3 linked regions of the Arabidopsis thaliana genome follow. The protein of the gene in region 1 interacts with the protein of each later gene in a pairwise test. Each region holds a gene or a part of one and is shown on either strand. Other genes may lie near its edges.

The links. Proteins that work in one complex are often made in the same cells at the same time.
Region 2: the proteins of KNAT5 (region 1) and BLH1 interact in a two-hybrid assay, tested with the Arabidopsis thaliana proteins (2 studies listed by BioGRID).
Region 3: the proteins of KNAT5 (region 1) and AtPOT1a interact in a two-hybrid assay, tested with the Arabidopsis thaliana proteins (one study listed by BioGRID).

What each region holds. Positions count from the first base shown.
Region 1 is NC_003075.7:15,491,140-15,497,866, forward strand, and holds KNAT5 (homeobox protein knotted-1-like 5), read left to right. Parts: upstream 1-2,849; 5' UTR 2,850-2,987; coding exon 2,988-3,530; intron 3,531-3,914; coding exon 3,915-4,035; intron 4,036-4,127; coding exon 4,128-4,327; intron 4,328-4,416; coding exon 4,417-4,548; intron 4,549-4,629; coding exon 4,630-4,769; coding exon of another isoform or gene 4,770-4,773; exon of another isoform or gene 4,774-4,854; coding exon 4,855-4,870; 3' UTR 4,871-5,242; downstream 5,243-6,727. Other genes in the region: AT4G32030 (uncharacterized protein), read left to right, coding at 1-147, 1,214-1,270, 1,366-1,428, 1,508-1,576, 1,680-1,868; AT4G32050 (neurochondrin family protein), read left to right, coding at 5,481-5,676, 5,814-5,964, 6,101-6,237, 6,417-6,520, 6,623-6,718.
Region 2 is NC_003071.7:15,087,226-15,095,522, forward strand, and holds BLH1 (BEL1-like homeodomain 1), read right to left. Parts: upstream 5,191-8,297; 5' UTR 5,002-5,190; intron 4,954-5,001; exon of another isoform or gene 4,891-4,953; 5' UTR 4,842-4,890; exon of another isoform or gene 4,562-4,841; 5' UTR 4,475-4,561; coding exon 3,632-4,474; exon of another isoform or gene 3,315-3,631; coding exon 2,926-3,314; intron 2,842-2,925; coding exon 2,781-2,841; intron 2,696-2,780; coding exon 1,946-2,695; 3' UTR 1,537-1,945; downstream 1-1,536.
Region 3 is NC_003071.7:1,887,716-1,896,050, reverse strand, and holds AtPOT1a (Nucleic acid-binding, OB-fold-like protein), read right to left. Parts: upstream 5,368-8,335; 5' UTR 4,807-5,367; intron 4,581-4,806; 5' UTR 4,501-4,580; intron 4,338-4,500; 5' UTR 4,238-4,337; coding exon 4,111-4,237; intron 3,977-4,110; coding exon 3,840-3,976; intron 3,768-3,839; coding exon 3,575-3,767; intron 3,470-3,574; coding exon 3,372-3,469; intron 3,219-3,371; coding exon 3,139-3,218; intron 2,998-3,138; coding exon 2,731-2,997; intron 2,627-2,730; coding exon 2,550-2,626; intron 2,443-2,549; coding exon 2,384-2,442; intron 2,303-2,383; coding exon 2,144-2,302; intron 2,062-2,143; coding exon 1,855-2,061; 3' UTR 1,537-1,854; downstream 1-1,536. Other genes in the region: AT2G05220 (Ribosomal S17 family protein), read left to right, coding at 872-1,294. UniProt on the Arabidopsis thaliana protein: Component of the telomerase ribonucleoprotein (RNP) complex that is essential for the positive regulation of telomere length. Binds RNA non-specifically. Binds specifically single-stranded telomeric DNA.

The DNA.
Region 1 (6,727 bases):
GATTCCGTTAGAGCCAGTCCGAAGACTCCTCTCTCGTGGAGCGGCGGATCTGGAAGTGGTGGCGGCTCTGCTTCTCCTTCCGCCGATGGATTCGAGGATAACAGTCGCCAAGCTAGCTGCTCTACATCTACAGGATCTGGATCTAAGGTAACTTTCTCTTTTCCCTATCGTGATTTTCAACTTTTGCCTCTCGATTTAGTCTTCTCTCTCTATCTTCTTTCTCTCAATTACGAATCCGGTAGCTCCGGAGAGATGGCAAATCCGTCATCTCGCTGGATAATCCGATTCCGATCTGGCCGATAAATCTGGATTTAGCCGTTCGTAATTGAGAAGATCCTTGGCCGTCTCTCTGTTTTTCTTCATTTTTTTTCCTAAAATCCATAAAGTTTAGCCTGACGTCATCTCTCGCACGCTTCAATTCTCACTAGAACGTATTTAGTCTGTTTTCTTCAACTTCTAACAAATTCACCGGAAAAAATTCCTCCGCCGTGATTCGCCGATGACACCGTCGGCCGGAGCCATCCTGCTTCTAGGTTAAATTCATCTAATCTCCAAAAAGTCAAAGCCACTTTAAGCTTAATTTCCTTGTTTTCTGCTCATTTTTTGTAATTAGAAAACTCTACTAATCTTCTGTAACAAAGCTTAATAAGAGACCTGTTTTTCTCGGTACGCATTGAACCGGATCTTGCGTGGCCGGTTAGATGTGGATTTTTAGAAATCGGTCAACTTTAATTTTGTCTTGAGGAATAATTAAAGCTCCTTTTAGATTTTGGGGGTAGTACAGCTTAACAGCTAGTTGGTCAAACGCGTCCGCGTTTTATTGAACGTTTTGATGCTCGAGACGGTAGCGTTTTGTGGGTTGAAAGTTGAAACGAGTAAAATGATCTTGTCGGAGAGATTGGTATCACGTGATCTTTAAAAGAGTGATGACGATAGATGACAATGCCCATGACACGGAATAATCATGATGTGGCATCAAATCCTCACTATAAAAATTCTTTCCCAATTATATATTTGAGATTTTTTAATTTTATGCTCTATTTGGTTTCTTCGATATATTTTTCTTACTTGTTTGAAATTTCTGTTGTGGGAAAAGAAACTTTTTACCGGTATGTTAAAATAAGATCTTGGGTATTGATTATAAAAGTAAAACAGTTGTCGTTATCTTCAGCCATTTAATAGTTGACTAATCAAATGCGTTTTTGTTTTGCAGGTTTTTCCCACAAACGAAATCACCAGTTGTTTCTCCAAGAGATTGAAGAAGAGGAAGGTAAATATAAAGTCTCCTTTTTGAATTTCAAGTACACACTCCAAAATTCAAATTTTATTGAGCTGATGGTTTTTTATTCTTTTAATATTTGGCAGTCATCTTTTGAGCTTAAAAATGAAGAGAACTTGAAGTTGAAGGAGAGACTTGACCTTGAAAAGGTAGATTTTCGTTGCTATTCTCTGTTTTATTATCATGGTTTTCATTGTATTCTTAAAAAAACCCAATATTTTTCCACAGGAGATTGCAAGTCTCCGAGCAACATTCGATGAACAAAACCTTAGGAACCAAAAGCTGAAGAGGATTAAGGTAACATTTAGATTCTCCCTAACCATCTTTACAGTAATCAGATATTCCAGATCCCTTCTCTCTATTTGCTGGTCTCATCGACTCTTGTGTTTTCTTGTTTCAGCTTGACTTAAACTCAGGCCGTGTCACAAACAAGAAACCTGTTGATTTGATTCGTAAATCACAACTCGAGCGGCTACAGGGATCAAAATCTTGCAAAACCAGTGACTCGCAAAATCAGGGGAGTTTCTTCGTCCTCCCTGATCTCAACATGGCGCCATCCGAGGAAGAGATATTGTACGGAACTAGCTAAAAACTGGCCTATATGAAGATTTGCGATCGAATTATAGTGAAGGGAAGAAGGGAGCTAGAGATGTCAACTAAGAAAAGTGAATGTAATAAGTGGTGTAATGAAACTCTCCCGTCACATTCTGGTTTTCCGTTTCCTTCTTTTTTTGGGGTAAAATGCTCAATTACTTCTTGATTTTTTCTTAGGAAGAGGGTGAAAATTAGGTTTTTACTTTTTACTCCCTCCCTCCCTCCCTCTCTGTTTTCTTTAATTTGATGTGTTAGAAGAAAAAATTTGTTTTAAATAGATGGTGTTATCAATTTTTAATGCAAAATTAACTACTTTTTTTTTTCTTTCTTTCTCTTTGTACCGATTTAAAAGCTTTTGTTGGAAATTGTAAAGAGGAAAAAGTAGGACAACTAATAGACTTTTTATGTTCCAAACATTTTCTTCTTCACTATTCTCCATACATTATTATATTAAAACCCTAGTTTCCGCTCAACTAATCCAAGACAAGAAGATCTATCAATCTCTTTGGACATTCATTTTTCTACTATTTAATTTGAATTTTTATAATATAAACTTGGGAGGTGTAATGCTATTGGTGGGTTGTCGGCGTGTTCATGGAAAAAGATTCGTTTTTAAATGCCCAATAAATTTGAGAAAAAATTGCCAACTTGTTTATGAGCTTATTTTCTTTTTCATGGATCCCAAGTCTTTTGTGTATAGAGATTAAAAAAAAATGACATTCCTTCATGTAAAAAAGAAAAAAATATCTGGGTTTTAAAAATATCTACAATGAGTTTAATGGTAAATATACTTATCATAATTTGGAGAATAAAGACCTAAAGAAGAAAATTACACTCTAGAACAGAAGTTTTGTAAGCAAATCATTGCTCACAAAACTTGTGAATTACAGAATTACAGGCTCTTGTAGGTTGAGTTATTTTATGCTTCATTTTGGTTACAGGCTTTATGTTGACATTAAAACAAAGAGATTGAAGTAGAGTCCAAAAAAAAAAAAAATATATATAAATATAAAATTCAAGATTAATTAAAAAATATTGGTCTTCAGAGAGATAAATAACTAGGGGAAAGAGAAAACAGTCTTCTCTTCTCCGATCCCAAAAACGCAGGAAAACAATGTCGTTTAACAGCTCCCACCTCCTTCCTCCACAAGAAGACCTTCCTCTCCGACACTTCACCGATCAATCACAGCAACCTCCGCCGCAGCGTCACTTCTCTGAAACACCTTCGCTTGTCACCGCCAGTTTCCTCAACCTCCCTACCACCCTTACCACTGCGGATTCCGATCTCGCTCCTCCGCACCGCAACGGAGACAATTCCGTTGCTGATACAAACCCACGCTGGCTCTCCTTTCATTCGGAGATGCAAAATACTGGAGAAGTACGTTCTGAAGTTATCGACGGAGTCAACGCCGATGGTGAAACGATACTCGGCGTTGTAGGAGGTGAAGATTGGCGGAGTGCTAGCTATAAGGCGGCGATTTTAAGACATCCGATGTACGAGCAGCTTCTTGCGGCTCACGTGGCTTGCCTTAGGGTTGCGACTCCCGTTGACCAGATTCCGAGGATCGATGCTCAGCTCAGTCAGTTGCATACCGTCGCCGCGAAATACTCCACTCTTGGTGTGGTTGTTGACAACAAGGAACTTGATCATTTCATGGTAAGTTTCACTTTCTAATTTTGCAAAATTTTAATGTTTTGAACTGTGAACGATTCAGCCATTTATTTCTCTTTGATTATCTGAGTATAGCAAATTCACATTTTTGTGTGGCTCATTGTTCCCGCTTCTCGAGTCTTGCAATCGATATGATCTTTGCTTCTACTTTTTTGGTTAGCTTGTAATTCGAATTATGAACTTTGTCTGACTCAAATAAGTTATATTTGTTGCATAAAGCTTCTTCTTTGATGACTAATAGTTTGTCTGATTCTTGCTGAAAAGGACTTTGCATGTCCAAGAGAAAGAAAGCATAATCTATTTTTTGTAACGTTCTGTTTGTATGTCTTATGGATTGGAATCTTACCTTTGATTATTATGTTGATGCAGTCACATTATGTTGTCTTGTTATGTTCATTTAAAGAACAACTCCAACACCACGTTTGTGTCCATGCAATGGAAGCCATTACGGCTTGTTGGGAGATTGAACAATCACTGCAATCCCTAACTGGTAACGTCCCAAATCATTTTTTTTTTTTGTTATTGTCTTCTTGCTTTATGTGTGTCTTGGTTTTATCGGTTTTTCTTTGTTCTGGTTTGTAGGAGTTTCTCCAAGTGAAAGTAATGGTAAGACAATGTCGGATGATGAAGATGATAATCAAGTAGAGAGCGAGGTGAACATGTTTGATGGAAGTTTGGACGGTTCAGATTGCTTGATGGGGTTTGGTCCTCTTGTTCCAACCGAGAGAGAGAGATCTTTGATGGAACGTGTGAAGAAAGAACTGAAGCATGAGCTTAAACAGGTAATTGCTTGATCAAGCTGCAATGGTACATCAAACTATACAAAACACATTGTTAAATCATGTTGCTCGGTTTCTTTTTTCCCCTGTAGGGTTTCAAAGAGAAGATTGTGGACATAAGAGAAGAGATAATGAGGAAGAGAAGGGCGGGAAAGTTGCCAGGAGATACGACTTCTGTACTCAAAGAATGGTGGCGAACTCACTCGAAATGGCCATACCCAACTGTAAACACCTTGGCCGAGAAGTTTTGTTACCACATTGTCAAAAGCAAGGTTTTAATTCGTGATTTGGTTTTGGAATTGCAGGAGGAAGATAAGGCAAAACTGGTTCAAGAAACCGGTTTGCAGTTGAAACAGATCAACAATTGGTTCATCAACCAGAGGAAAAGAAACTGGAACAGCAACTCTTCCACGTCATCTACTCTCACCAAGAACAAACGTAAACGGTAAAACAAGATCCGTTCTCTTTTTCAAATTGCGCAATTTCATTAAACCAACCCGGTCAAGATCTTCTTTTGTAACCAAACTCAGGACCGGGAAGTCGTAGGTGACATAGCGGCTAACTAGAGGATGGTTCTTTGCCATGTGAATTCTTGGGAACCGTATATGAAAGAAACGAATCCGGTTCTATGCTCGTACAGAGTGTGTTATTTGTATAGTGGATACCGGTTAGCCTATGAAACCGGATTCTGGAGTCCAAATTGTTGTTTGTAACGACTTAGTAGTTTTTGGAAGTGATCTGTTTCGTTGGTTTGCGTCTTGTAACGAACGCTTAAGCAAGTGTGGGTTTTTTCTTGTAAAGTGTCAATATGTTCGTTTGTAATGAATGTATCAAGCAATATTTATCATAATTAAACTAGCTTGAAATGTAGTATTACGATGTTGTTGTGTTCGTCTGATTTCTCTCACCGGTTGATGCATGGTTACGTTCGGCTCGGTTTTTATATGGTTCAATTTTTAATATATCGATAATTTTAAATGATTTCACTTGTATTATTAACAAAGCCCATTGGTATTTGGCCCAAAATCTGAATGCCGACTTAATGACTTGTTTCTTCTTCCTTCAGCTTCTCCAACGAACGGCTTTTGTTTTAGTTTTTTTTGCTTACCTTTCTCTCGACTTGGTCTACTTTTGTTACTCTTTGAGTTGGGTGATTATGGCAGCAGCACCACAGGAGGAACGATCTCCGTCGCTTGACGATTGCCTTAAGCTATTGAAAGGGGAGAGAGACGAGCAGAGGCTCGCCGGTCTACTTCTCGTCACCAAATTCTGTAAGAACGATGACATCGTTTCTCTCAACAAGGTCTACGAAGCCGTTGGTACTCACTTTCTCGACCGTCTTTTCCGTACTGGTAATCAAAACCCCGAATTATTGATCTTTGTCTCAGTAAATACTAATATCAATTTTGGGGTTTCTACAAAGTGTGAATTTTTTAGTTGAGATACTAAAGTTTGTTGCTCTGACTGGTTTCGATTTTTTGTTTTGCAGGTAGTGGCAGTGGCGATGGGGTTGATAATCGTGATGTGTATCTGCAGATATCTATCACTGTTCTTGCTGCATTCTGCCGTGTTCCGGAGATAGCTTCTTCAGAAGAGATGGTCTCCAGAATTCCCCTTATTCTCGAAGTAATGTCCAAAGGGTATGTTAGATCACCTGATTCTTGCATTTGCGACTTTCCATGAAGTTTTTTTTTTAATCAAGCTTTGCTTCTGTGTCTTCAACTTTTTGCATATTGTGATTGCCTAAAGTTAGGAAATTGGCTTTTGGAATTTCAGAATAACTACAAACATGCTCGAAGATTGCTATGAGCTTCTGTATTTGGTGTCCACGGCTTGTGAAGCTGGTCTCATGACTTTGATTAACTCTGGAGGCTTGAGAGTGATAGCTCCCCAGATGTCTGAGTTACCTGATGGTAATACATACTCTTTCATTGGGTTTACATTCTTTTGTTGTGTATATGATGCACATTAGATTCCATTGAATGCTATTTCGGATTGATTATATTTGGTGTCAAAGAAAACGTGCCATGTTGAGGTAGATGGATTTGATAATAGTTTTTCACTGGGAGCTAATGTGAGACATGTTATTCAGGTTCACATGCCATGGAGGTTGCTATAAAGATTCTGCAGTTATTGGTTAGTAAGCTTGATTGTGGGAGCATGACTATTGAACGCTTCTTAGAACTGTCTTTGGTGGTGAGTCTACTTACTTGGTTACTTTTTGTTTTCTTTTCGCAATACTTACTAAAGCTGCAATGCTGAAGTTGGACTCCAAACATAATGTTAACTTTTATTCAGATTGCTGCTGTTGCACGGCAGTTTGCGGTGTTGCATAATGCCCTGAAGTTTGAAGCACTCCATTTACTGTCTGCAGTCTTCTCGTCAGAGTATTCTGTGAGTTTT
Region 2 (8,297 bases), on another chromosome or scaffold:
GGAATTAGTTTAGTAGAGATCGATCAATGGCAAAACGTATCACATCAGGGATATGCATGGGTGCAAAACTGCAAGTGATCAGCAGTGTGGAGCTTCAACAACTAATGCCACCGACGCAAAATATAACACGGTTTAAAAGATATTACCACCATATATGCATGAATGGAGCATGCGTGTATGAAACTAATATATTATTCTATACTCATACAAAGTAATTCACTAATTCATTTGACCACACTCTTTTTAGATATATTAAACAATGTGATCTTACTTTACGACTAACAATTGTAATTGCTAGGTACAATGCATCTAAAGCTCTTCTAGCAATTTTAAAATAGTTTAAGAACTTCCTTTTTATTTTCATTACATAAGTGTTTCAATATTTCAAGGAAATGTCACAAATTAAAGCATTTCATGCCGTTTCTGCATATCGATAATATAGTCAATTAAAATGATTGTAGAATGCAACATGATGTATACTAACTAGTATTCCGTTTATCTATCTGATAAGCACCATAACTAATCTGGTTCAGGTATGAAAAAGCAAACCAGTCCGGTTAGAGCTGGTTTGTTCTTGTACAGACTGTTGCTGTAAGTAAGAAGAAGGGCTTAAACGTTACACATTCAAATAAGGTAGTCGTTAAATACAGTGTGGAAGTTGTTGAAGTGGACAACTTCTGAACATATATTTCGAGGACTTAATAGTTGATTATATTCCTACCAAACCTTTTTGTTTTTACATGACCTTAACATTCAATCAATAGTTTACCCATGAAAAAACCTCTCTGTAAAGAACTTTTTTCTTATTATTGTTTTTCTTTTTGGACAATAGAATTTTATTTTTTATAATTTAAAAAAGGGTTGTTGCGTTGGGCCTAAACAAAGTGATGTTGAAGGGAAGCTTAAAATGAGTAATTTGGGTAACAAAATCGGAAATTTTATTAGATTCTGGGCCTCAGTTTTAAATAATGAATTCAAATTTGTTGTGTTTTTCAACTTTTGACTCATGAATTTGGCTCCGATAGTCGCAACATATTTCATGTGTTTCACTAAATTTCATTATTTATTAATATCTATAGAAAGGTATTTGGGCCCAAAAAAAGTTATGGGCCGAAAATGAGTAAAATATATATTAAATATTCGCATATGTTTTTGTAAACTTTTTTCTTACAAACCTCTCCGAAATTAGTCTCACACTCTCACGCAGTCTTCATATAAATATTCTGTCAATGTCTTTAATAACAGAAAAAAAAAATTGTTACTGTTATTGTAAGTTTATCTCTCAGCAGGTGACGCTATTCTACAAAATGATTTGAACATTTTCATTTTTATATATCTTGAAAAGAAAATTTATAACAAGTTTTATAAACGTTAATCTTAATTGATTTAAAAAAAAAAACTATACACAAAGTTTGAAATCTGAATTCAATTCAACAGTTCGTAAGATCTTATTTCAGAGATTGCTTTCTTTGTTTTTTTTTATATTTGTATTGTGAATGTGTAGAATTTTATTTAATATGCTTTTAACACATAAACACTCCTCAAAAAATATTATAAGTTTCCAGCCGCTTAAGCATACATGTCATATTCGGAATCTATACAGCTTAGATCTAATCTGTAATCATCATTCCATATTTGATAGATCAGTTCACTATCTTATTAATTATTACATTGTAATAAAAGTAAAAATATATTTTGGTATACACCCAATGCAAGCTATTACACGTAACTAATCCATATACATATATAACCCTATCCATCCCCCAATAGAAACGAAAAAAAAAAATTACAAAATCGATATACAACCGTCGGCCATATATAACCAAAGACTAAAATTAAATTTTGTTCTTTGTTTTGGTTCAATGGTATGAGAAACTATATACTAATTAAAAACTAGAAACGTATATAATAACCTGTTTCGGTTTCTCCTTCTAGAGAGATGGGTTTATGCAACGAAGTCGGGCAATAACTGAGCCACATATCTCTTCTGGTTCTGTATGTTCATCCCATTGTAAGCCGCGGCAGCTGCCGCTGATGAATGTGCGGTTGTGGTCGAGCTACCACCATTGATGGTGGCGGGTCCATATTCCTCTGTTTCTCCTATTTTCACTCTTCTCCCTATAGGAATCCCATGGTGGGTCTGCATGAAACCCTGATGGTGCGTGGACGACAAGCTATCACAATGAGGTAAACCTAACGTGAGGGACACGCCATTGTTGTTTCCTGAGTACCTTTGCGCCATGAGCTCCTGGTCTGAGACTACATCAAATCTTGACATCTCATCCATTTGGTATTGCCCGAAATTACCCATGAAAGGGTAGCCACCATCTGATCTTATCCCTTGCCGTTCTTCTAGAATCTTCATCGTGAGCTTCTCGTTGGAGCTGAAATCCGCATTTATTGGCTGCATCATTGTCTCGTCGCTGGTTCTTAGTCTCTTGGGGCTTCCTTGCATTCCAGTGACGCCTTCTAGGTCACCGTTGTGATTGGGATTCATATGGTAATTAGTGTCCGCCATTGGGCTCTTTTCTTGGTTACTTGTTGACTTTGAAGCAGAATCTTCGTTGCTTTGATCCAAAGGAGTCTTTTCCATGGATCCCATGTTCTTTGCCTGCTCCTTCATTTCCTCCATGTACATCTCCTCCACCATTGGTTTCCATAACCGAACTCTCGCGTTTATAAACCAGTTCGACACCTAAATAATTAAAGAAAATAAATTTACTTAAAAACGCTTTCTTAAGTAACCTAATAACACAAGAAAGAATCATTTTGAAACGTACCTGGCTACGAGTGAGTCCTGTTTGCTTAGCTAGCATGTGCTTGTCCGAATCCTTAGGGTATCTAATTAAAAGAAAGACAACTTAGAGACTGAGTTTGTGTTCCAGTGATGAAAAGTAGTGCATGTGTGTATAGTGGGTTACTTACGGATGAAGAAAGTGTTCGAAGAGCCAAGCACGGAGAACTGAGACGGCTCGTTCTGGGAGACCACGTTGAGGTCTCCAAGCATTATTGGAAGGATGTTGAATCATTCCCAGTTGTTGAAGAGCTCTTTGCTGTCTCAAGTGGTGGTCCACGAACTTGAGCCTCGACCCCTCAAACCTCCCAACACCAGACACTGAATCTTCCTCCCCAAGACTCTTGTTGGCCGCTTTTATCTGACCAGCGATCGCCTCTTTCAAGCAACGGAACTGTCTTGATATGGTTTTCAATGCTAGCGACGTGTATGACTTCGCTGATCCTATCCCTGCCGCTTGCTCGAACGAAGAGATCACCATCTGCATCTGCTGGTGGTACTGTCTATATCTCTGCTCCACCTTTTCATTTTTCAACCAACAAAGTAACGTGAGTCTTATGAACATAAGTGTACGGTCTACATAAATATAATCTATAAAAGTTGTTAGTCTTTACTAAGAGAGGGACAAAAAAAAAAAGATTTCATCAATCTTGTAAGTTGTCAATTTGAGAAATCGGAAGAGCAAAAAAAAAAAAGGATAGCTTAATATACATATAAAATGAATTGTGAAAATGACTGAAAATCTTAGGGACAGAACTTTTAAGTCCACTTCATGTGTGATATAAGAGAGCACTCAGTATATGTAGGCTTATTGTATATAATACGTATTGTTGTTACCTCATGAAGCATGTTACTAAGTTTTGCTTTCTTCATCTGTATTTCTTGTCTCTCTGCCGTGCCTAGCTCCACCGGACGTTTCCCGGCTGCTTCTGCTCCGCCACCGGAACCTTCTCCTCCAGCGCCGGCCGATGATTCTCCGACAGGTTTATCATTTCCGCAACTACCCTTTTTCGATGAGAATAGTTGGGATTTAGCGTTCATGTCATCGGAATCAGCGTTGACTACTTCGTCAAGAAGCTCTTGTGCTGCCTTCAAGTACTTGGAGCTAACAAGATTAGCTATACCGTTTGTTACCCCCGATCCTGTAGAGCCAGACCCGACCCGGATATCTTCTCCATGTCCGGACCCGAATCCGACGTGAATAGGCTGGTGTTGTTGATGATGTTGCTGTTGCTGCTGCTGTTGAGACGAGAGGGTTAAAGAGAGGCCTTGCTGCGCGCGTGGCGTCTCACACGCGGCTTGCTGGTGAGTGGGATCCACTTGGTGGCTACCGTAGAGACTGTACTGCACGCGCGGAGGATAACCGTGAAGTACGGAGATGTTGTCGGCGGCTGTAATGGAAGCAGCTTCGTGACCTGAGAGTGGTATTCCGACGAACTGCTGGCTCGCGTTTGGCTGCGGCGCGTGGGAATCGAGGAAAACGAAACTACTGTTGTTGTTGTTTGTGTTTGTGTTTGTGTTGTTGTTGTTGCTATTGTTGCTGTTGTTGTTGTTGTTCGAGTCGTTGTCTTGTTGGGTGTACTGAACGTAAGTAGTTGGATTCATGAGGATCAACGTTTGAAGACCACCGTCGGATCCGGCAGAGATCTCCGGTGGGTTTCCGTGAAAGTAAGCAGCCATCTATGTATAATTAGTAGTTGTTACACACGAATGAAACGACGTCGTTTTCTTTGATTCTCTTTCAATTCTTGACCTTCTTTCACCAAGCTGATTGATATCATAGAAAAACAAACAAAAGTATGAAAAAGGAGCAAAAACAAAACCACTATAAGTTTAATATAGATCTGTATATATATACAGTTGAAGCGAAGAAAAAAAGAATCGTGATCACATCAAGAAGACGAAGAAGAAGGGATGAATTATGGATTATGAGAAAGAGAGATTGAAGGATATGGAAATTAAGACATAATCATGATTGAAAATAAAATAATAAAATAATAGAGTTAGAAATTGAAAGAAAAAATGAATATTATAAAAGATGAAGAACCTGGATTGATAGAGATCTGAGGATGCACGTGTTTCATGATCATCTCAAGCTGCAAAAGGAAAGTTACATTAGAGAATTTCTATCAAAGAGAAAGAGAGAGAGACAGACACACACACATACACACGAATATACACTTATATATATATATTTATATGCATACCTGTGTTTGTGGAGATGTGTGTGATTGCTATGTGAGTTTGGTCTCTGTGTCAGACTCAAAGATCTCTGCAACTCTTTTCTTGCTCAAAGGGGAAATATAAAATACATTTAAAAAGCTGAGAAATAATATATAACAAAATAAAAATGACTAATATATATTGAAAGAGAGAGAGGATAAAGAAAGGAGAGATAAAAGATACCCATCTTTTCCTTCACTCATTAATCTTCCCACAGTCCTTAGTACGCCACCATTTTTCATCACTTTCTTTCTATTTTATTTTATTTTAGTGTTGTGGTCGGTATATCTTATAACCAAAGTGGATTTTTTGTTAAATGGGACAATAACCAATGTTTAGGACATGAAATATTCACTAATGTAACTTAATTTTACATTCATATATTGATATATACTTGTATCCGCAAAACAATTTGTGTGTGTGTGTGTGTTTACGTTCACCACCAGCTAATATTACTTATCTTTTTAATTTAATATGCTAAATAGACATTCCAACCATGTTGGAATTTGTTTTCAAAATTGATATTAAACTCTACACTTAGATATAGCTTTATGTAATCATTTAAATTAGTGTACTCTAGAGCAATTGGTTCAACAGTTTTTTTAAATAGAAAAAGATTAATGAATAAATTAAGAAAAAGACATAGCATTCTTTCATACTGCATGTTCAAAAAACCTTTACTTCATGTTATTATCACTATATAGCATGGTGATAAATAAGTTACAAAGTACATATATATCATAGGGAGCTAAAATTCATAAAACTAAGTGAGAAAATGTGCATATAATTGTTTGTTGTTGAAATTCTAGTTTGACATCCAGTACAAGAGATAATATTAAATTCGAAATATTTCAACTTCATAGACATATGTATACATTATTTGGTAATATATATGTGATACGTATCTTATTATAAATTTAGAATTGGTATACTTGAAAAACAGAGGAACTTGTATGATATGACTTTGGCCTTTTCATGTATTGACCAGGTAATGAACCCACATATCATAACAACCAAACACCCTTTATTTAGTTATTTATAGACGATATAATTTCATAGATGAAGTAAATGTTATCACATCAAGACATAGTGATATGTATGTCGTGTCCAATTTAGAATCATATCATTTTCTTTTAAAACATTATATTTGTATTTATTTAATAAAAAGAAATCCCACACGCATCTCAATCCAAATCTTTCTTTATTGATATAACTACAATCCTGAACATAAAGTATTCTTCGGATTACTATTCTTGCAGACTTTTATCATCTAGCAAGTTCAGAGTGTACACTGAGGATGGCAACGAACTTTGAACTGATTATGATTTATAAGTAATAAAATTAGTAATGTTTACGTTACCAAGTTCTTTTCATTTTTTCTTTTTTCAACTGTTTTTTTCTTTAATTTCATTTCATTATTTTCCTCAGCAGATTAACTAAGATACTTTATTTACAAAGTTTTATATTACCACATACACATAAAAACTTAAAACGCATCAACACTTTATTCTAGAAAATGAATAGATTTCATTTTTGAAAGTCCTACCGTTAGTTTATATTTTTCTTCCAAACACTCAAATAGGTTAAGAGTATAATATTTTAAATATACATAATGGGATTAGAGAAATTGAAAACTTATACGGAAAAGTGAATTGTGTCAGAAGATCCAAACAGCACAAAAACGAGGAAACGTCTCCTTCTGCAGAAACCTAAAATATTTAATCACACAAAAATCTAAATTATTGAGAAAGAGAGGAGAGAGGAAGAAAGAAGATGATAACGATAATGATAATGAAGCATGATGGGGAAAGAGTGGGTCCCGTTAAATGTATATTTACTTTTATTTCTTTATTTCATATATTCTTTTAGTTTACCACGTATGTCTATTTTTAAAGGGTATTTGACTAAAAGTATTTTATTTAAAATATAATTAGAAATATAGTAGATAATTTTAGTTGATTAATTGCAAAGAGTGTTTAAGTTCATGAGAAAGTCTTTTTTAGTAACTTGTATTTATTTTATTTATACGATATAGATAATTATAATTTGTATGTAGAACAACAAAAACATATGTGGACAAATTTGCTTATCTTTTTGAATCGTTTACCGTCCACATAAACAAACTACCAGTTATGTAAAATAAATCATCCATAGCGCATAAAAACTGGTATCTTGTTATTTTTCAAAAGCATTTTTGAAACTAGTATGTTCATATTTATACATATCTTATTGTTGATCAAAACAATTGTAGGGTTGGCCTCATGTTTAATAGTCTCACTAAATTTCAAACAACAACACTCAGAAAAAATTGTAATACATTTATTGATGCGTGTTTTTTTAAATTCTAATAAGATGTAAATAGTATTTATTATAATTTTATTTGTTGCGTGAGTAAATATACATGTGGTGATTACCAAATTCCTATCAGTATTGATTTTTTATGGAAAATTTCCTATAAATTATTTTCGTAGAAAAATGAGAGAAAAACCATGTTTCCTACGATTTTGGACGTAGGAAAACGTTAATTTCTTTGTAGTTTGTTTCAAATATTTGTCATTTGTCATTTTTAGTCATTATAAATACTATATCCTAAAAATGGAATTAAAAAATCCCAAACATAATGTGCAAAATAATGCTTTTATATAAAAAACTTGTTTCTTATGTTTTTCTCATTGGAGTGAAATCTTTGATGGATTTCAGTTGTCGAGCTTCTAGTCTTGGTTAAACGAATGCAGTTTGTAGAGACCGTTACTTTGGTTATGCGTACGAGTGTTTTGACCCACTTTCCCAGGTTAGACACCAAACTAGCTAGATTTTGAGCGTGCAGTTGTTACATAACATACGTAATGTGGCTTGGTTTAAATTTTATCATCAATAAGCCAATATTCACGGTGTTATAGTGGTCATTACTATTCGTCGGGTGTGTATTAAATACTCCTAAAATAAGCCCATTTACGCATAATTAGTTTTACTCCAATATAAATTAATCTGGATTGTCTTCTCATTGCGATCGGGTTTGGCATGTTATATGCCTTTGACTAAGTACTGTTTTTTCTTTCTTTATGTCATACGAATTTGTAATATTCGCCATCAACTTGTGTTATTTTTTGTTCAAAAATAATGAAGAAAACTATTTTAGAGGAAGAAATCAAACAAATTAGTCAACAAAAATCTTCTAAATCTGTATTTTCTGAGTTTTCATAGTTTCAACAATTTCATCAGTTTACAATATGTTATTAGAACAACTAGTCGAACATTTCATGTTTTTTTCTGTGTGAAA
Region 3 (8,335 bases), on another chromosome or scaffold:
TTCACCAACCCTATTTTCTCTACTTCTCTCCGCCTCTCTCGCATCTCCAAATCGAAATCGCTCTCTGCCTCTCTTCGTCTCCGTCTCCGTCTCCGTCTCCATCTCTGTCTCCGGTGAGTATTCATAAATCTGATCTCAGACAACATTAGATTTCGATTGTAAGTTCTTTAGGTCTGTAGATTTTGAGTAATGGGTTTGACAACATTAGATTTATATTGCCCACTCTCACTTGTTTGTGTTGATTACTGTAATGTTGAATTTGGGTTTCATCTACTAACTAAGATGAAATCAATTTGAGAAGACTAGTGGATAATAGTGAACACGTTTACATGACTTTTGACTTGATAGTTTGCTATTCTTGTTGTATCTGTGTGAATTGTTATAGGTTGCTTGATTTTGATGTTCATGTGTCAAAATTGATAATGTAGCTTTTGTATCTGATTAATTAAGATTCTAATGCAGTTGAGTTTTTGGTCTTAATATTAGGCATTGTATATTATACCAACGTGTGAAGAGGTTCTGTTGTTTTCTGAATTTCTCTTATTTTGTGTTTCATTCAGCAAAAGTGTGTCGTGAGTTGATATTCTTTTAGGCTGAATATAAATGTATGTATAAAATTTGGCTTATATTGTTTGATAAGAACACTAGACCTCTTTCAAGTTGAGCGTTATGTTGATGTATATTACTTGACTCATTTTCAATTCTCTTGACAATATTTGACATTGCATTTACATGTGGTTCCTGTGTTTGTTTAGTGTTCAACCTGAATGTTGAAGTTTAAGACATAAATCATCTATACTTGGTTGTTTCTTGATTTTGAATCCTTAATAAGACATGGAATTTCTCCTCTCATCAGGTAAGTCACTGAAAGATGGGGCGTGTTAGAACCAAGACGGTGAAGAAATCTTCACGTCAAGTCATTGAGAAGTACTACTCTCGCATGACTCTTGACTTTCACACTAACAAGAAGATCCTTGAAGAGGTTGCCATCATCCCATCAAAGAGACTCCGCAACAAGATTGCTGGATTCTCCACCCACTTGATGAAACGTATCCAGAAGGGACCAGTCCGTGGAATCTCACTCAAGCTTCAAGAAGAAGAGCGTGAACGCCGTATGGACTTTGTTCCCGATGAGTCTGCTATCAAGACTGATGAGATCAAGGTCGACAAAGAGACTCTTGAGATGCTTGCTTCTCTAGGAATGTCTGACACATCCGGCATCTCTGCAGTCGAGCCACAACAAGCTATGGCACCAATCGCTGCTTTCGGCGGCAGGGCACCCAGAAGATACTAAGATGGCCTCAGCTAATCATCAGCTACGATTGGCTCTCTTTTTTCTCAGTTAGGGACAAGAAAGACTTGTGTGGTTGTTTATTGTTTCTTCTGATTATGTCTTAAACTCAATGTGAGACTCTTTCGTATTAATGGTTTTTAAGTTATGTGGAACCAAAATTGGAGTTCAAACATTTGATAGTACCAATACTTTTTGCTTATCAGATCCGAGTTGATTCATGGGAGAGTTGTTGTATCAGCGAAGATTGTGGAGTTTTATGAAGGACTGTTAGTGAAACATTCCACAGGTCGAAACCATTTTAAAACTTTGAACAAGGTAGAGTTGTTCCACAATGAAAATGTGTATATTGCCTGCTGCTTCTATTAACTCTTTAGGTCTAGAGGAAGATATTTTTGTGTTCAGTCTTTGGATTTGGTTAATATCATGAAGATGTTCTTTTGGTTACAAGGTCTTCATGAACTAAAACAACACAACTACCATACTTAAGTAAGCCAAATCCAACATTCTTAACATGAGCCTAATACTAAACTATTTAATCCTCTTTTAACACTTACAAATACTTAATGAAGTAGTCTAGTACCAAAGATTCTGTATAATCTAGTATTCCACGGGTCAGCTTTGTTAGTATAGTAGGAGAGGATGCAGCACTCGATCCATGGTGGATTTCTTGGAGCCACAAAGTTCGAGCTTTCCCGTATACCGAGCAACCAATTCCGCTTCTTCCTCAGCGTCTCTGTGTCCTGAAACCCTAAACCCCAAAAGTACTCCTGCCAATAAAATCTAGATTAGGCTATCAGAGACGATCTTTGTTGACAGTTTAGATGCAAATAGACCAAATGGTGTATTTACTGCGTCTTTATTGCATAAGAAAGCCTCTAAAGTCGCTGTTGAATCCTCCAGTGTCAACAAAACTTGGTGGTGACGGCGATTCTCATCTGAACAGAAATCCTCTACTTGCCAAGGATATGCAGCTACAACCCGAACAATACATCTGTACTTGCATGTAACCTGTAATAACAACGTAGGCGATCACATAAAAGTATTCTTAATCTTTTCAGGGAATACAGCAAATAGATTCATGAATGGTACCTTGGGGAATGTTATGATGTCCATCAGTGTAACAAATGGGGCACAATTGTCATCTGTCTCTGCAAGACACCAAGAATGTTAAGGAAGTCTGTCTAAAGATTGACACAGAGAAAAACATTCGTTGAGATTAGATCCTGCTCATTAAGTAAAAGAGAAGTATTGCAACCTGTTAATCCAGGAGGTGACGGAAAACACCAGAATGAAATGTGTCCCAACTTTGATGATAGTCTCTTATCATATATCCTAGTTTTTGGCACATTAGATTATAAAACAAAATGGTAAGAGATTCTCATGGTATGCAAAAAGGTCGGAAGTAGTTACTGAAAGAAATATCAAGAAGTACAAACCTCATGATCTTTTCAACTAAACGATCATCTTGAGCGAGATGATGAACCTTTGTAGAGCTGGTAACTTTGATTACCCAAGATCCTCTATCAACTTCACAGAGTAAATGGTAAAGTTTCACCCAATCACCAGGTTTAACCCGATAAAATAGATGACTGCTTAGATGAACTCTCAAGATCGTTCCAACGGTTGGAAAGCTGAGCAGTACATCTCTTGACAGTAAAGTATGAACAGAGAGACTGCTAAATGCCTTGTCTTCTTCACTTCTCCTGTCGATAGCCAAACATTGTACACCAAATAGAAGAAGAGTAAGCGTAGGATATGGAAAGCGTAGAGTCAAGCCTAAATGAATGACTCAAAACAGATAATGTGAGGATTTAAAACTTTTTTCCTTCGCAGTTAATACTCACTTAGCCAGAATAGATGCTGGGGGTGCATCAGTCCCGTCCCAAACAAAAACAGCGCTAGTATCTTCATCGGCATGGAGAATCTCCATCACAAGAAACAGCAGGAAACAAGGTAGGATCAGTCAACAAAACATAAAAGGAGCCAAAAAAAGATTTGAAGTAACAATGAAGTGGTATAGAGGAATGAAGAGTTAAAAAGCTTTCTCACAGTTAATAGAGAGTATAGAGCATATTACCCTGCACACCAAATCAAAGCGTTTTCCTATCTTGATCTCTCTCAAGAAGGAAAAAACTTCGGAGCAAGGTTTTGTTCTGTAAGATATACTCTGCATAGCTAAGTACCAAAACAGTAAATGAAAGCTTATGAGAATCGTTCCAAGCTATCCAAAGCCATTATACTATATGCATAGTTGAAAGCAAAAGAAGCTCACAGTGTTACCTTTAATAACTTGGCTACAACCCGCAAAAACTTTGCGTAAATCATCCATGGCACTCTTGTATAATGCTTCTTCTTCATGAAAATTGGTACTACATTGGTAACAAACAAAATCCACACCTTCGAACAAGGCAAAGGAAGAAACCCATCTACTACAAGCAGCATTTACTCTTTCTCCACTATCAAAAGTTTGCATCTACACAATAAAAATCCAAACTTTATAACCTCCTGCACAAAACACAGAAGGAAAATGAAGAGGTCTTTGTACCTTAATGCGAGTAAACAGAATCATGTCGTCGTGGTTCTTGATTTGAGGAAGTTGTTCAAGAGTCTTACTAAATACATTAACAGTAAGTCCAGGACTTGGATACGTATCATCAATTATCCGTAGCGTACAAATCCAATCTAAGAAAAAAATCCAACTTTCAGATTTTGTTGGGTCAAATGTTAGGGCTTTCACAAAACAAACCAACTAAGATTCAGATTCAAGCAAAATTCTATGTATTTAACTCAAATTTTGGTTTTTTTTGGATAAGTACCATTGTTGCGACATTGTTTTGGTTCTCTTTGTTCAAGGACGATACCAATGAGACTGACTTGTTGGTTGATGAGTTTAATGGCGTCTTTGATTTTGATGAGCTTGGGACTCTCTCTCTTCTTCGCCATCTCCCGCTTTGCTACAACGTTTTTAAGTATTATCCTGACGTCACAAAATTAGAGAGTGGTAATATGTGGAATGAGTATCAACAGAACACTAAGCACCAACCTGCAGCCCATAGCCAATAAGTGGAGTGAGTATACATTGGAGGCAATAAGTGGAATGAGTATACATTGGAGCCAATAAGTGGAATGAGTATACATTGGAGGCAATAGAATAGCCATCAACGGAATGACAATGCAAGGATATCAAAAGAACACTAAGCACTAACCTGCAGCCCACTGGAAGTATTCAATGCAGAATCAGACTGAAGGCAAAAAAACTTTATCTTTCTCTCACTTGAATCATCCCCTGGATATAGCAAATTTCATCACAATGGTGAGAAGTAACCAAAGCTAACAAATGTTCCAGAATATGATCCTTCCCTTACATCAACCATCTCTCACAAGAAAATTCTTCAATCCACAATTTTTACTACTTTTATCTACCAAATCCTCAAATCCATTACAATGAACATAATCCCATGAATACAAATGATATATTTTGTTGTGATTAGATTTTAAAGGAATAAACTAACCTCAAGGTCGTATCTGTGCACATTGTTTCCGGCGACGACGATTGCCACCGGAATGAGACCTTATCAATGATCAATTCCGTTAGGTATCGAAATTAGAACCCCTTCATCAACGAACAACACTAGATCTCTCCAGTGAAACGGCCGACGCTTCTCGATCCTCTAACGACGCTCTCAATTCCACATTCTTCTCGCCGTTCTCCGTGAAGTTGCTTCTGTGAAGATTCACTAAAGTCCCAATCAATGTAATCGGAGAAATCTCCGACCAAATCGCTATCGCCAAAGAGACTGTTTTTTTTTTCTTGTTTCTTTTTTTTGCCAAAAAGTTATGTTATATATATCAACCCAGTGCATCATCCAATAATGGTGAACCTTGGAGAGGCCAGTACAAACAGGATACAGAGATAGAATTTTTACATATCAAAGACGTCTAAGTAAAGATAACAACATTTACGTTACAGTTAAGGTACAATATTGAACTACCACGAGCATCTCCAAGAGATACTCTATCCCTCAAATATAAAGTTTTAGGTTCTCTAAAAGATAATCCAATATAATTTAGAGCATATCCAAAAGATATTTTATATATAGAGTATGTAAACTTCAAATATAAAGTATGAGTAGTTTCTTCTCCAAGAGTATACTTTAAATATGAAGTTTCTAAAATATGTGTTTTGCATTATAGTCTTTATATTGTTCATAATTATTTTAAAACTATATAACTTTAATAATAACACTAAAACATACATTAAAATATTACACATAATCTTAATTAACAAAACAATACATTTATAAATAAAATACATATAAATAAAAATTAAAAATACATAAATTAACTTATAAATTACAAATTACTCAATAAAATTATTTTCGTAATGCTCTCATATGTGATCAATCAATGCATTACGAAGAGATAGATAAGTCTCTTTATTTTTAATCTGTAGATTACGAGTCAAAGTGTTGAAATATTTTGAATATATAAAAATTAAAGGACTAAAATGATAAGGGAATGTGACACGTTTAGACACTTTTAAAGAATTTTATTCCTTTTGAGGCACTTTTCAGGGATTAGGCACTTTGCCATCTTTTTGAGGAGAAATTGGACTAATTTACCCCTGAAGTAATGATGACACAATAATTATTAAACTTATTTTTGATGAGATCGTGTGGGTAAGAAACTATCCCCCTTTTATCATCTCTCTCTTCCATATTCTTTTGTTTTTCATCATTTTCAATCTCTCTTTCAAAATCATTGTCGTTCTCTATAATTTTTACAAAATCATGAAAATTATGAGGTTATCCTAAATTCACAATCAAAATCTATGTTTACCCTAATTTTTTTTTTTTTTTTTTACTTTTGTATATTTTTCTCCATTCGCTGGAAAACTTATGGCCACCACCATCGTTTCTTATCGAAGGATTATTAACATTAGAAATCCAATTCGCCGAAGATTAAGACAGAAAATATTGGTCTCAACTCAGATCACTAAGGATGTTTGAATTGGGGAAGAAGAAAAACTGAATCATTGTTTGGGAGAGGTAAGAGCATCTTTAACCAAATTTTATCCTCTCTCGTATTGGATTTTTACTTGGCTTTATCTGTTTCTTAAGATTGAATGTTAAATTGATAAATAGTAAGATAGGATTCAATCCCAAGTTAGGATCGATTTGACAAATTACTTGAAGAATTTTAAATTAAGTAGTTGACTCAATCCCAAGTTAGGATCCAGTGATATGAATGTTGTGAATTGACATTGAAATTTGATTTGTTAAAATGCATCTAGTTTTCCAGTTAAAATTCTAATACCCTTCTCTGGGAACACCTTGAATTCCTTGTTTAATTTTTGCTCTATTTCCAGCCTATAGATACGTAGTTGGTCTTCAAAAACTTTGGCTAACAATAACTTTGTGTTAATCTCTTTCTATCTCAAAAATGCTAGGGAAGATGTGATATTTGGTTTTATTGGAGCTATCGTTTCCCAACAGATACATCTTCCGGATCTAGAAATGATGTGTTTAGATCACACACCTATCCACACCTCTATATCCATATGACTTTTTACATTAGCTGCAATCACCAATTTGTTTTGACAATTTGTTCACATGTATATGGATACTCTTATCATTGCATAGCACTTGGCCACTCTCTTGAATTTGATGACGTTAAACTGATCATATGATTGTTGGCTTTTTAGATTTTAGATTTTGCTTGTTTATGGAATGTTTGTATCTTAGTTCTAACAATGTGGATGACGATAATGGAATGTTTATATGGATGGCACATTATGGATGACGCATCGTGGATTGTGCAGATTGTTATGATGAGAGTTGTGAATCTTTTGGTCTTACATGTTAAGAATTGGAAAAGCTATATGTGGTGCTTTTGGTACGATTGTTGTCCACAAAGTTTCATCCATCTGATTCTTAAAGAACATTTAGTCATTCTAAATCATTTAGATATTCTTTTTAAAGATATAATTGTTCACTGACGAGTGTCCAAACAATCAAGTCCAAATGGTCACCTAGTAACTCACAGTTTGTTTTATATCAATGCACAAATTTATACATGAACAATAATCGTTGATAAAAAATTTGTTGAACTTTTGGGTTCTTCCTCTATTTAACTTTTAGAGGTTCACTTCTCTTACATCTCTTAGTTCTCTTTAATGCTTTGTTTCACTCACTCATTTTAACTCAAGCACAAAAAGAACCTTCACTCTCATTCTCTCAGTCTTTGGTTAGTTTCTTGTTTTGACACGAAGACATAAAACGATTAGTAAGAGAGAGAAAAGTGAAAACATTAGTTGTCAACATTTTTGTATTGGATTCAAAGATAGATTCTTATTATAAGACATACACACACATATTCATACTAGTTTACTTCTACTAAGTACACACTTGCATTATGCTTCTACTTAGACCTAGACCTTACTTTAAGACATCATTACTCTAGTCTCTAAGGTATACCCAAGCTTACAAGCAAGGTTTACCAACAACTCCTACACAACAACAACTCTAACAACTCTTCACTAAGCTAAACTTTAACTAACATAACACACTTACTCATTTAGGCCTAACAAAACAATTAGCCCAATCACTTATTATTTCATCTTCTCCCATGCATATTCTTCTTTTGCTTGAGCTTCTTCTTCTTATTCATGTTCTCATTGAAGCATTTTATCTTACATATTTAATCAAGAACTCAATCTCAACAGAAATACACCGTCCATTTTTCTTTGACCAATATTCACTTGTGTATAGAGTATGGACATTATCATAATTATATAATGGATCCATATCCAGCGATGACACATTAATGGTAAACAAATGCAACATTGTCCATTGATGTGTGTCCAAGATGTGCAATCCATATGGTTGTTTATACCAACACATAAGTTATACATATATAGAACAAGATGATGAATAAGTCATAACGCTCTCTCAGTCGCCACCAACAACTCGATCGCCTCCACCAACCAACAGACACTTCATCACCATATAAAAGACAACCGTCGCAAGAAACCATAACAAA